Rattus norvegicus: one gene and its partner. The protein of the gene in region 2 interacts with the protein of the main gene of each other region in a pairwise test. Links are inferred from orthologs where the notes say so. Each region holds a gene or a part of one and is shown on either strand. Other genes may lie near its edges.

Region 1 (7,650 bases), on a different chromosome or scaffold from region 2:
GCGGGCCTTGGACTCACACGAGAGCCACCTGCCCCTGCCTCTCGAGTGCTAGGATCAAAGGTGTGCATCACCACCAAGGGCAGCTGCTAAAATTTAAATGTAAGCAACCATTAGGAGGGTATGAGGGGGCGGGTACTAGGGAGCCAGGCAGTGACTGGGCTTCAGTCCTTCCAAGCCCCATGGGGGCCCTGGATAGGCAGCTGGATCTCTCAGCTATCAGGGTGAAGTCAGCAGGTTTCCTATCTATCTGCTGCCCCCCCTTCACACTTTCCTCTTCGGTTCTTACTTAAAAAGAGTTAGAGACAGAGACCCACACAAGGGGGGTGGCGCTAGAAGGACCAGGAAGAGGAGGCTGTTTGTGTCCCGCAACGGAGATTACAAGCCACCAGCCCATTGTTCTTGTTTTCAGCATCGTTATCAATCAACAAAGGCACAAAAAGAAAACGTCTACATCTGAAGCCTGACCACCTAAAAACAGACCCGAATATTTCCTGTTCTTTCAGCAAATCGGAAGATGCCCTCCGTTCCTTATCTACACCGTGCCTTATTCACTGATATGGGACCACTTTCTGTCCCTGCGTGGGGAGCTCACAGAGCCGATGGAAGAGGCTGCTTCCTGGGATGCTAGAAGCTTCTCCTCACCTTACCCTTTGCTAAAATAACAACAGAGACAGTGTTTTGGTTTGCTCTGTTTTGATGTAAGCTTTCTACACAACTTCCCACGGCTAAGCAGGAAAAACCATCACTCCTGAAGTTAATGGCCCTTTAACGTCTGGGCCTCCGTTCGTCTGTTTTGTTTTGTTTTGTTTTGTTTTAAACCTATCTGACTATTCTTTCTTGACTCAAGAAGTAATACATGACCTTTGCACAATTTAACCAATTGAAGATAAATGTAATAAAAATCACGAACCCCTACACGTCTCTCTGTCCTTAAAAGGAAACTGTTGGGGTTGGGGATTTAGCTCAGTGGTAGAGCGCTTGCCTAACGAGCGCAAGGCCCTGGGTTCGGTCCCCAGCTCCGAAAAAAAGAAAAAAAAAGAAAAGAAAAAAAAAAAACAAAGGAAACTGTTGAGAGCGTGGGACACTTCTGAGGCTTACATAAATCTATATGGTGTGTGGAACTTTTTTATTTTGGCCTTTTGTTTTGAAATAGAAATGGGCCATTATATGTACTACTGTGTATTTTGCCTCTTTCGGCCTAAAAACATGCCATGGACACTTTGTAAGCCAAGATAGACAGATGTCAGACAGACACACAGATCTCCTGCGTTCTTTTTTTTTTTTTTTTTTTTTTGGTTCTTTTTTTTTGGAGCTGGGGACCGAACCCAGGGCCTTGCGCTTCCTAGGCAAGCGCTCTACCACTGAGCTAAATCCCCAACCCCTCTCCTGCGTTCTTTACATAAACTAAGATGGATATCCCATGATCCAATTGACCATCACCCGCTTTTCCCACCTCATGGACATCTGGGATACACTTATATAAACATATATATTCCTGGTCTTTAATTTCTATAACATGTTCCTAGAAGTGGGACTTCCATGTCAAATGAGACTCCTCAAATGTTGAAATCTTTATACTTAAAATTAATTCCAGACCCTCATTATTGCAAAAATCTCGGTATGAACCTGGCACAGTATTGTGCATATTTTATTTTTTTAAAGCACAAACACTATATCAAAAAGTGTCCCTGTCATTTTATGCTTCTATTGTTACAAATAGATAAATGTTTAAGTTATGGCTGTGATGGCCAGCATTAAATCACTGTGCAAATGCTTATGACTTGGTTTATGAAAGCAGTAATTCATTGTGGAAACTCCAGCCCCATGCTGTGCGGTAGCAACAGTCACAACTCTCACATCCTGTGACTCCCTCCCACCGAGCGACTACACAGAGATCAAGGACCTATGTTTTTCCTAATTCTTAACAGTGAACCACAGACAACAAACCGACGGCCATTTTGGATTCCTAATACTCAAAATTTGTAACAGTGAATCATTTTGCTGGTTTACACTAGAGAACACATTCCATTAAAAATAAAAACCTATAACCAATAGGTTGCTCTCATCACACAAATCTTTCGAGAACATACTTTTAAATCACTCTTCAATAGAATCGTTGGTTATATCCCACTTCACATCTCCCCCACTTCAGATCCAAGAGCACAATTACAAACTTAAAGGGGAGGGGTGACTTTAAAGAAATCATTAGCCAGCGAAGCTCCTCACAATGTAACCTCAGACTCCCCTATATCTTCTGAAGACCGGAGCACTATCAGAGATTGTTAAGACACAGCAAGTTTGATACAGAAATATGTGACATGCAATTAATCTCCATTCATAGCCGGCTCTGCCTGTCAGCAAACAAAGGTTCTGCTTTAGAAGGAGATCTGAAGACTTCAATTAAAAACAGTCGGCTAACAAGAAAATAATCTGAGCTAAGGGAAGGTGGCAGGTGCAAAAATGAGTTGTTTACCAAAGTGTCAGTTTTGAACAATAAGGAACTGCATGTCAAAAACATCGAAGCAGGGGAGGGATCGTGTCGCACTCGAGCCTCCAAAAAGAAGAGGGGCTTTCTATCGATGCTGTGCACCAAACTGAGGTATCATTTAATAAGCTTGTAAAATGGGTTTCTTCTCATAAAATAACTGACACCAACAGAGAGAGAGAGATACTCCGGCTTTAAATACAACTTGTGGCTGCAGTTCCTTCCCTAAAACCCAAGACAACCACAGCCTTCCTTTATGTATCTACTACCAAACTAGCGCTGGTTAAATCTCTTTAGGTGTCTGGTGACTTCTATCTTCCAAATAACTTGTTATTTCTACAGTTCCTTGGTTTACACACTGAGTGGACTTTAGGTAATTTAGAGAATGTAGCTCAGTGGTAGGACATCTAACGATCACGCATATGGTCCTAGATTCAATCCCCTAAGCACAAGGGAGGGCGGTGGTGGGTAAAAGTGCTTAGCACCAAGCCTGAAGACCTGAGTTTGATCCCCATCACTGGAGGATAGAAGATGAGACCCAATTCTCAACAGCTGCCATCTGAACTCCACAAACCCGCTGTGGCCATGCACACCCCACACCCACACACTCCAAAAGTAAGTAAACAAAACGCTTTTCTAAGAATACATTTTTTGAAACATCACCTCAAAAGAAACACCTAGCTTCCAGCTCTTACAGAGAAGCAATCCAGAATAGAAACAGTGCCGCAGACAGAATCCAAATGCACTGGCCAAATCCTTGATTAGAAGGCATTTATACCAAGATAACAAGGTAATGGAGATATGAAACCAATTAAATGGAGAGAAACTGGAAAGAATACAGCTTGCCAAAATCATGACCTGCCCAAGGCAGGCCATCTGTTAACTATGTGTCAGATATGTCGCCTGGATGCCAAAAGGCTTAATTCTGAGCAGTTTCCTCTTGAGACCCTTACGCAACTGCAGATTCCAGACCTCTGTCCTTCCAGGAAGGTCAGTCATAGGAGTAAAATGAATTTTCACCTTGTGAGCCAAGCACAAGATACTGTCCATCAGGAAAGTTCTTTGGAGTATCAGGAATGTATGCTAAGTGTTGCAAAGTGTGACTTTAACTCTAAAAGACTTTTTTGAAGGTGAAGCCATCACAACGTGACACTTCAGGAAGGTTAGGAACGTCATACTCTGAGGCTTCCCTTGGATAGATGACAGCACCCCCCTCCCCCACCAGTCTTCAGAATAGTAAAGGACTCCTTGGCTTACCACACTTATAAGAAGTCCTGGGGCTGGGAATTTAGCTCAGTAGTAGAGCGCTTGCCTAGGAAGCACAAGACCCTGGGTTCAGTCCCCAGCTCCGAAAAAAAGAACCAAAAAAAAAAAAAAAAAAAAAAGAAGTCCTCTAACCACCAGGCTTGGCCCAAAGACCCATATATCTCCACAGATCCCTTCTGTGTGTCGTGGGTCTTCCGCGAGGTGAGGAGTCAGGACTGGGGAGGGTAAGAACTAACCTGCTACAGACCTCAGGGATTTCCCAGGAGACAGGTTCAAGACCAAGCAAGGTGTCAGGGGAGGCCATGAACTGGCCTGCAAGACCCCAGAAACCTAGAAGTGATATAGATGCCTAGAAGGGACGGAAAATGTGTAACTCAAGGGAGATGTGGGGACCCTGAGGTGGGACAATGGGCAATAGGCTGGCTTTGGGGACAAGAGGAGGATTGAGGACTCTGGGAGCCTGGAACTTATATTATAGGGCTGTAGGGCTGATGCCTTGGTGTCTCCTTTCTTGCCTTCAGCCCAGCACTGAAAGGCCCTCCCAGAGGGGAGGGTCAGGACAGAGGTCTGGCACTGAGCCAGGAGTTACCTTCCAGGAGCCAACAGATCTCCTCCGGGAGGGCGATGGCCTGCATTTGGCACGGCGAGAGGGTGGCCACAGCAGAAGGAGGGACAAGGGACACGAGGCCTGTTTTGACGGCGGCAGGCAGAAGGAGGCGAGCTGCACCCCGGGCACCTGTACCTCGGCTGCACTTGGGGCCCCGCGCCGGGCGGGGCCGCCGGCCGCGCGCTCAGGAAGCGGCGCGCGCAGCGGGCGGCGGGAGCGGGACCCGGGGCGCAGGTGCACTGATGGCACCAAGGTGGCATGCAAGGTCAAAGGCGTGGCCCTTTGAGCCCCGCACCAAAAGATTGCTAGACTCCGAAGAGCTTTAGAGGCTAAATCTTGGCGGAAACATCTAAGCCCTGAGCAATTTGACCTTGGGGCGGTAGGTTTAAAAGGCCATGGTTGTTCCTGAACTGGGGGGCAGAGGCAGAATCCAAGAAAGGACTTGGTCCTATCCAGCTCACCGTCGGGGAAAGCCTTGCTGGTTAAAAATTAAAATCTGGAGTCCCAGCGACAATATAGATTCTCAACATTTGAGAGACTCAGCATCAGATGCAATGCACAGAGAGAGACGGAGGGAATGTCCTCTCTGGAGGTGAAAGGCTGTGGGAAGGTGGGAAACAGCTCTTTCTCGGAGCACAGGAAGGAAGAAAGTGCTCGACAAGATCACAGGGCTATACCCTTTCCCCCTCAAAGTACAGCCAGTCAGTGCCCAAGTTTGGGTTGTAGTAAGTACACCACGAACTTGGGCGGTGGTACGTGGAATCCTTTGTTATTTTTGTCAACCACTTGTCAACGGGGCCGTGAAGAACCGAGAGCAGCGGCATGGATGAAATAAGAAAGAGCATGAACACAAGGGAAGGATGGGAGCACCCGTGGGTGCGCAGGTACTTAAAGGGGAGCTAAATACCAGACCGGGTTTTAAAAGGGTGGGAAGACTTCGTAGATGGAAAATGATCTATAATTATGTGGCCTCTGCATCTCTTCACCTCTACCAACTCTCTCTCTCTCTCTCTCTCTCTCTCTCTCTCTCTCTCTCTCTCTCTCTCTCTCTCTCCTGGATTCTATTCTAAGGATAGGTAGGAAGGACTCGGAGCACATGACAGGAGGGAGGCAAACGATTTGTTTATTATGTAGAAGAAGGCAGAGCAAAGAGAAGAGGCCGTTCAGAAGGGCCCAAGGCAGACGGATGGATCTCCTGGAATAGGTGCGTGCACACAACCCATGAAGCTGTGGCCTCAAGGTTAGGGGCCCTCCCTTTTAAGGGTTTCAGTGGCGTTTATCATATCCCGACACCCGAGAAGGAATGGTCTTGGTTTCAGGACCTCATGACACACATATAAATTGCAACAAGTTGATCTGAAGGGATAGAACCTGTCAGGGGTCGCCAGGGAATCCGACTCCATGGTGCTGCTTGTTCCTTACTGGGTGAATCTATAGGGATGGGCTTGGGCTGCCTCTTCCAGGCTCTGGATGGGTGTAGGCTGCCTCCGGGGACATTTTTCCCTACCTTGCTGTCCCCCTGATAAAACCGAAGCTGCTTGAGAATCACTTGGGGTGCATGCATGTTTAAACATGGAGGCCATGTGGGTCTGACACTCTCTTCTTTTTGTAAACATAAAACCGTTCTTCCAAAGGGGAGGGTATAAGCTTCCCTCTATAGTGCACAAACTTCCTCCATTTCTCTTCTAGCAATGGGGATAAAAAAGGACAGCCCCTCCCTCTTTCTTCAGTAAAAGGCAGAAGGTTTCTAGGTTCTGAGGAGAGCCCAGAGTGCCCCACCCTCGTATTTAAGGTCAGCATGGTCACATAGGGTAGGTGCTCAGGAGTTGTTTGACAAAGGGCAGAACCCCAGGCTTCCTGCCACCTAGGGAGAAGCGAAACTGCACCGGGTAGACACACTTCTTGCATTTCTTCCCCTGTGGATGCCTGGGATGGGAGAGATGGAGGTAGAGGGAGGTGTAAGTCAGGTGATGTGTGCTGGTGACTGGCAGTTTCCAATACGCTATTGTCATGTTGCATCAAGGTTCCTCGTTGCAGACAGAAGCCTGCCTCCACACATGAGTGCTGCCCCTCCTTAATCATCTGAGGACCCCGGTTCAGCAGTCAGCCTCACTCCTAATGACATTCTGTTAAATGGACAAATTCCTTTGAAGCCCTGTCCTCCTTTGAAATCCAATTTCGCAGGAAGCCAAATCTGATTGGGGGTAGCCATGGAAACGACATGGAGGAGTCTTGCAGGAGGTGGAGAGAGGCAAAGCAAAAAAAAAAAAAAAAAAAAAAAAAAAAAAAAAAAAAAAAAGAAAAAAAAGGTGATAGTCAAGAGTCCTTTACTGCTCTGTCGGAAATATCAAAGAGATCTAGAGAGGTTGCCAGCGAGTCCCTGCCCAGGTCCTGTTCTGTGTGGCTGGGTACCTACCATGTGGCTGTCATGGAAGAAAGCAGCCAGCTGTCTCCACACACAGGCAGCGGTCCAGATCTGTCTGCCTTCCCCCTCCTCCCTCCCCCACCCCAATCCCAACATCTTCCCCTTCTAGCCATCACCCCTTAAAGGCAAACAACAAAAGAATGACAAGGTGAAAAAAAAAATACAAGGCCCCCGCAGATAAGAGGTCCTAGGGAACAGAGGCCGTGAAATTAATCTAAAATTCCTTGTAATTAGATAAGATAAGGGTATCTAGAGAGAGCAGAACAGTCAGAAATGGAGTCCAGCCACACAGCATGCAGAATACGCATGCCCTGTCCACTGAGACTCCTCACATGCTGTCAGCAGACAGAAGATGCAGAGAATGGAAGCCGTGTTGGCCTCTGGGCTACTTGAAGATGCTGTCTGCACGTCCTCTTGCCAGGTGGGCGCTTAGTATTCATCCATGGGGCGTCCAAAGGGCTCAATCAGGGAGAAACAAGAACATCTGGCACCTAAAACGCCATGGTGTCGGTAACAATCACAAGCAAAGCCGGAGCCGGCTGGCACTGCCCCACGCTGGGCTTGGTGGGTCTTGGGAGGAGACTGCAGGGCAGCATCTGAGGCTTTATCCTCAGCCTGCTATCGATCCCCAAACACTGGGTCATGACACATGGCAGAGCTGACGTCTGCCCTGTGGATGTGCCGAAGCCACATCTCAACCTTTCCATCCCAGCCGCATCAACCAGGTTTATTGACTCTTTTATTGACAGTGCTGGGGCTTAATGAGGACAAGAGTTGCACACTTCATTAAGGGATGTGGAAGGGAGAGATGATGTGCAAAGTCGGTGCCAAAACCTGGGCTCACCGTACGCCTCTTTCAAGGCCCCA
Region 2 (5,734 bases):
CCCCACAGCTGTCCTCTGATCTTTGTGCTGGCCTGAAAGGAAAGCACACAGTAGGCAATCAAGACCAACACAAACTGAAGGGCTGAACTAGAAGCCTATAATGATCGAGGGCTAAGGGGTTGGGGATTTAGCTCAGTGGTAGAGCGCTTGCCTAGCAAGCGCAAGGCCCTGGGTTCTGTCCCCAACTCCGGAAAAAAAGAAACTGAAAAAAAAAAAAAATGATCGAGGGCTAAATTATTGTGGTAGATTGGGGAGTTCTTTGAAGGAGGGAGCAGGAACGCGGTCCAGACACATGAGCTGTGATCCATCTGGGGTTGTTGGTGCTCTCCACCTCTCTTAGCCAGAATAAATATCAGCAATTCTGCATCCTTGAGGTGACAGAACTGTTAGTGCATAATTGCCAAAAGGTAGCCTGAAACCTGACCCTGCAAACAAATCGCCAGGAATTCCATCTGTTCTAGTTAACCTTGCCTCTGAGCAGCTGTGCAAGCTCCTGCCAGCAGATGCTTTTCCTTCACTGACACTCTTGGGTGTTCTCTGCTGGAAAGCTGGGGCAATAGGAAGACTTCATTGTCTATGTGGGAGTTCAGTTTAAAGAGAAGGAGGTTGGGGATTATGGGAGTTCAGGAGCAGGGAGTGGGGTGGCACAAGCATGAGTGGGGGTGGGTATAGGGATTGCAAGGCTTCCCAGAAGAGCAAAGATTGGGCGTGTGTAAAACAGCAAGGATAAAAGGTACTTTGGGTAGAAATGGTTGTCCCTGGTATCTGACCCTCAATGCTAAGTTTCTGGGACAGGAACCACTGAGAAGACATTTCCAAATCCCCTACTCTCCCCACTCAACCCTTTTCATCCAGAAGATCCCAAAGTACTAGCATAATGACATCTACCTTATTTTGTGTGGGTGCATGAGTCTGTGCCTATGTTTGCAGGGGCTAAAAGTTGCCATCAATGTCTTCTCCAACTTATTTTTTGGGACAAGGTCTCAGAACTTGAAGCTCACTTTTTGCTAGATTGGCCAGCCAAGAAGTCCTAGGTATCTATCACTTACCTCCCTTCCCCTCCCCACTAATCACTTGCTATTTATTATTTTACTTTGGCTTAATAAACTCATTCAAAACCAAATATGACTGTGTAAATCATTCTCTGGATCCTACAAACAGTGAAGATAAAAAGATAGGAGGGCTGTGACAGATGTAGGCTCTGGAGGACCTAGCTTACCAGGTGAGTAATGTCACCTTTTGGCTGCAGATACTAGGACAAAGAGGTGATAGAGGGTAATTCTGATTTAAAGTTAGGATACAAGGAAGTGGTGAGTGAGACAAATGGGTGGTACCAAGGAGGTCTTTGAGGTTTTCTTTTCCAGATTTTTACATTTCCCAGAAGCAGCAGGTATGAAGAGTATGGCCATGGAAGAAGATGGGGAAGTTTAAGGAGGAGCCTTGTGGGCTACTAGAACAGGATCTGTGTTTGTATATGTATTGTGCATGTGGGGTACAGGCAACCATGCCAGCACATGTGGAGACCAGACAGAAGTTAATATTAGAATGCCTTCCTCAGGCACTTTGAGACAAGGTTTTTTTTTTTTCTTCTTCTTCTTTTTTTCGGAGCTGGGGACCGAACCCAGGGCCTTGCGCTCGCTAGGCAAGCGCTCTACCGCTGAGCTAAATCCCCAACCCCAAGACAAGGTCTTTCAATGGAACCTTTAACTCGCTGTTTTGGTTAGACTGGCTGGCCATCAAGCCTCCAGAATGACTGTCCCCGAACCCTCCCTCCTGCTCCAACCACCAGTACTGGGTTACAGACATGTACTACCGTATCGTGTTAAAATAGGTACTGGGAATCTAAACTCAGATCCTGTTTGTACCTACTACACCATCTCTCCAGCCCAAGGAGTCTTTATCCAGAGACTTATGAGGGATACTAAGGAGCACTAGTGAAAGGCTCTTTGGGATAGGAGGGGATTACCCTAGCTAGACAGAGGTTAGAACCAACCTCTAAGTAATGGAAGAACAACACACTGGACTTCTATTTCCAAGAGGCATGGCCAGCCTGGCTTTGGACTGGAACAGAAGTAAGGCACCATGTTTTCTTTGTGGATATATATGACAGGGGGATTAGTGGTGGGTATAGACATATACCATATCTAGCCAGGATGACCTTGAACCCCCAATCCTCCAGAGTCCACACTCCCACTGATGTGTTTATTAAAAGATAAGGATATGTCCTGGGTTTCAGCACCAATGTTTTTTTTTTTTTTTTTTTTTTTTTTTTTTTTTTTTTAATGTATACATCATACAGCTTTCTGCCTGCATGTATGCAACTACAGGCCAGAAGAGGGCACCAGACCTGATTATAGGTGGTTGTGAGCCACCATGTGGTTGCTGGGAATTGAACTCAGGACCTCTGGAAGAGCAGACAGTGCTCTTAACCTCTAAGCCATCTCTCCAGCCCTACCAATGTGTTTTATAAAAGATAAAGGAGAGGGTGGGGATTATGTTCTAGGGGGGGTCTGGGGGAAGGGGGTGCCTCAGCAGGCCCATGCTGAGACATCCCTTCCCTCTGAGGGACCAGCCAGCATGGGGAGGGAAATTAAGAGGGTAGTAGGGCAGAGAGAGAAGTAGAGAAATAGAAGAGTAGAGGAAGAGTAGAGGACGGCCATGAGCACGTGGAGAGAAGGGGGAGGGGTAAGAACAAGAGAGCATGAGGAAGAGAGGAAGGGGCAAGCAGCCCTTTTCATAGTGTCAGGCATGCCTGGCTGTTGCCAGGTTAACTGTAGGGGTGGAACTTAGAGAGTGCTAACACCCACCTCCTCCTAGTTCTGGAACTTAAGCACTTATTAGCAAGCCTAGTTATGTGGTGTTGATAGAAAGAACCCAAGGCTTTGTGCATGCTAGGCAAGTACTATACTGAGCTACATCCCCATCCATAGTGCATTTTCAAATGGACCCCGAACTCTCCAGAATACAGGTTGGGGTAGATGCCAGCAGCAACAGAAGGTCTGCTGATTGCAAGGAAGATGCTGATAAAGTTCAGTTCTCCATCTTGACCTACCCAACTCAACTATAGCTACCCAAGGCTTTCATCTCTGTGAACCCACTGGCCTCAGGAGCAGGGTTTACTCAGACCTAGATTTCCACATTGCCTTCCTAATTCTTGATACTTAAAAACAAAATTTCTTGAGACAGTGTTGCTTTGTAGTCTAAGTTGGTATGAACTTAAAAAGAATGATCCTTCTCTGTTTTCCAAGAGCTTGGATGTGCCATGTGCTACCATACCATGGGGCTTTTTTCCCCCTCATTTTTTTGAGACATTGTTCACTATGTGTCCTGCCTGGACCTTGTCACTTAGATCAGGCCTTGAATTTACAGAGATCTGCCTGACTCTGCCTGCCAAGTGCTGGGATTAAAGATGTGTGCCACCATGCTTTAAGCTCAGGGCTTAATATATGAAAGGACAATTTTGGCTACTTGATTTTCTTTTTTTTCTACCCCACTCAAACAGGCCATCAGGGTTGCATGGGCAAGCACTTGAGCATGGTAAGCCATATTTCTTTTTTTTTTTTTTTTCCGGAGCTGGGGACTGAACCCAGGGCCTTGCGCTTGCTAGGCAAGTGCTCTACCACTGAGCTAAATCCCCAACCCCCATATTTCTTTTTTGTTATTTTTCAAGACAGGGTTTCTCTGTGTAGCCCTGACTGTCCTAGAACTAGCTCTGTAGAACAGGCTGCCTATGAACTCAGATCCACTTACCTCTGCCTCCCAAGTGCTGGGATTAAAGGCATGTGTCACTATGCCTGGGTTTTTAATAAAGGAAAACCATCTGGGAAAATAACAAACCTATCTGGTTCTGGAAGTTGTAGAACAGAACAGTGGGCACTGACTACTCCTAGGGTGGGCAGTGAGCTGCAGATCTGGATTCCACAGCTGAGATGCCAGGAAAATAGGAGTTCTGATGAGAGTCAGATTCTGTGAAGCCAATTTTAAGTCCCCCTCCCAAGGTGTGTGAGCACCCTAGTCCCATAGGTAGCAGCCTAGTGCTTATTTGGGGGGGGGGGGGGGCTGTAGAAGAGGGCTCAGCAGATAAGCGTTAACTCTGAAATAAATGAAAAAAAAAAAAGATTAACTGTGACACTAACAGAAAGTTCACTCTCATATTGCTCTTACAGAAGATGCAAGTGTGGTTCCCAGCACCCACGCTGGCAGCTCACAAATGCTTAGGGATCCTATACCCTCTTTTGGCCTTCACAAGCATTACACTTCTGTACACATATCACTTGCACTCTCTCTTAAAAAAATAAAGACATGGGCTGGAGAGATGGCTCAGCGGTTAAGAGCACTGACTGCTCTTCCAGAGGTCTTGAGTTCAATTCCCAGCAACCACATGGTGGCTCACAACCATCTGTAATGGGATCTGATGCCCTCTTCCCCTCTTCTGGTGTGTCTGAAGACAGCTACAGTGTACTTATATAGAATAAATAAATACAACTTTTTGGGGTTGGGGATTTAGCTCAGTGGTAGAGCGCTTGCCTAGGAAGCACAAGGCCCTGGGTTCGGTCCCCAGCTCCGAAAAAAAGAACCAAAAAAATAAAATAAAATAAAATAAAGACATTAAAAAAAAAATCTGAGGGGCAAGGGACCCAAGACACAGCACACACTGGCTCAACGTGCCTCCTTTATTGTCCCCTTCTTCCTCAAATTACAAAAATCTCTGTATCCCCTACAACTTAGCCCAGCAGAGCTGGTTCAAAGCTGTGATAAAACTGGATTCTCCCCCTCTGACCACTGTGACACCTCAATAGCAAACAGGGTTGGGTCTTGTGTAGAGTTGAGGAGGGGTCACCTGAGCCTGTGCCTCATCCCTTGCCTCTAGTCCTGTGCCTGAACATTCCTCAGCCTTACCCAACTGGGTGTTGGAACCAAGGAACCCAGGTTTCAGGCTGTGGGGTAGCCAGGGTGGTGGTCCTGCAGGTGCAGTATAATGGCAGACTGAGAGACTGTGAAGAAGTCACACTGTATACACGAATATCAGCCATCTATGTGTTCGCACACAATGTGGCTGGGGGCCATGTACCCTGCAGGCAGGCAGACAGGCAGGCAGGCAGGCAGGCAGGCAGGCAGGCAGGCAGGCAGGCAGGCCTCTGAGTCCTGGGTCTCCCTCCAGAGAGCCTTTCAACCATGGATGGTAGATGTCAACCAGGACAGATTAGACTTTTCCCTGGGCTTGACTACCCATCACAGCAGGTACCACATTTGCCTCCCATCCCTGGACCCACCATAGAAGAAAACCACTCAGAGACAGAACAAGACACAAATGTTTACACAGGAACACTGGCACAGATACCAGATGAAGGCATAGATACCAGTCATTTGAAAGGCAAAAATCATGTATTTTAAGGGACAGTCACCGCTGCTTTCCAGCATTCACAGGGCCCACTTAGGGCACAGGAATGAAGGGCCCCTCCACCCGTCCCTGGTGGTCACCTGCACGCACCTGAGGGCGCATCGGAGCCGCCCTGAGGTCTTCTAGGACTACTGGTAGCACCTGTAGGAAAGAAGCAGTTCAAGTTCAGAATAAAAGTAGGCTCAATCAGCTTTGTAGGCAACCTGCTCCTATACTCACCTTGACTCTTCTTCCAGATGGCAGTGCTGGATGTCGGTGGCCCTGGAGTGGCAGCCAGGAATGGGCGCAGTCTCGGGGGACTCAGGCCAAAGGGTGCAGGGTTCAAGTAAGGAA

What was found.
Region 1: the proteins of Pram1 (region 2) and Skap1 interact in binary tests that used the Homo sapiens proteins (3 or more experiments, as listed by UniProt). The two-hybrid records come from large-scale screens. The link is inferred for Rattus norvegicus from reciprocal best matches to the Homo sapiens genes PRAM1 and SKAP1.

Annotation. Positions count from the first base shown.
Region 1 is NC_086028.1:81,918,850-81,926,499, reverse strand, and holds the start of Skap1 (src kinase-associated phosphoprotein 1), read right to left. Parts: upstream 4,485-7,650; 5' UTR 4,387-4,484; coding exon 4,341-4,386; intron 1-4,340. UniProt on the Homo sapiens protein: Positively regulates T-cell receptor signaling by enhancing the MAP kinase pathway. Required for optimal conjugation between T-cells and antigen-presenting cells by promoting the clustering of integrin ITGAL on the surface of T-cells.
Region 2 is NC_086025.1:15,124,676-15,130,409, reverse strand, and holds the start of Pram1 (PML-RARA-regulated adapter molecule 1), read right to left. Parts: upstream 4,598-5,734; 5' UTR 1-4,597. Other genes in the region: Zfp414 (zinc finger protein 414), read right to left, coding at 5,478-5,734. UniProt on the Homo sapiens protein: May be involved in myeloid differentiation. May be involved in integrin signaling in neutrophils. Binds to PtdIns(4)P.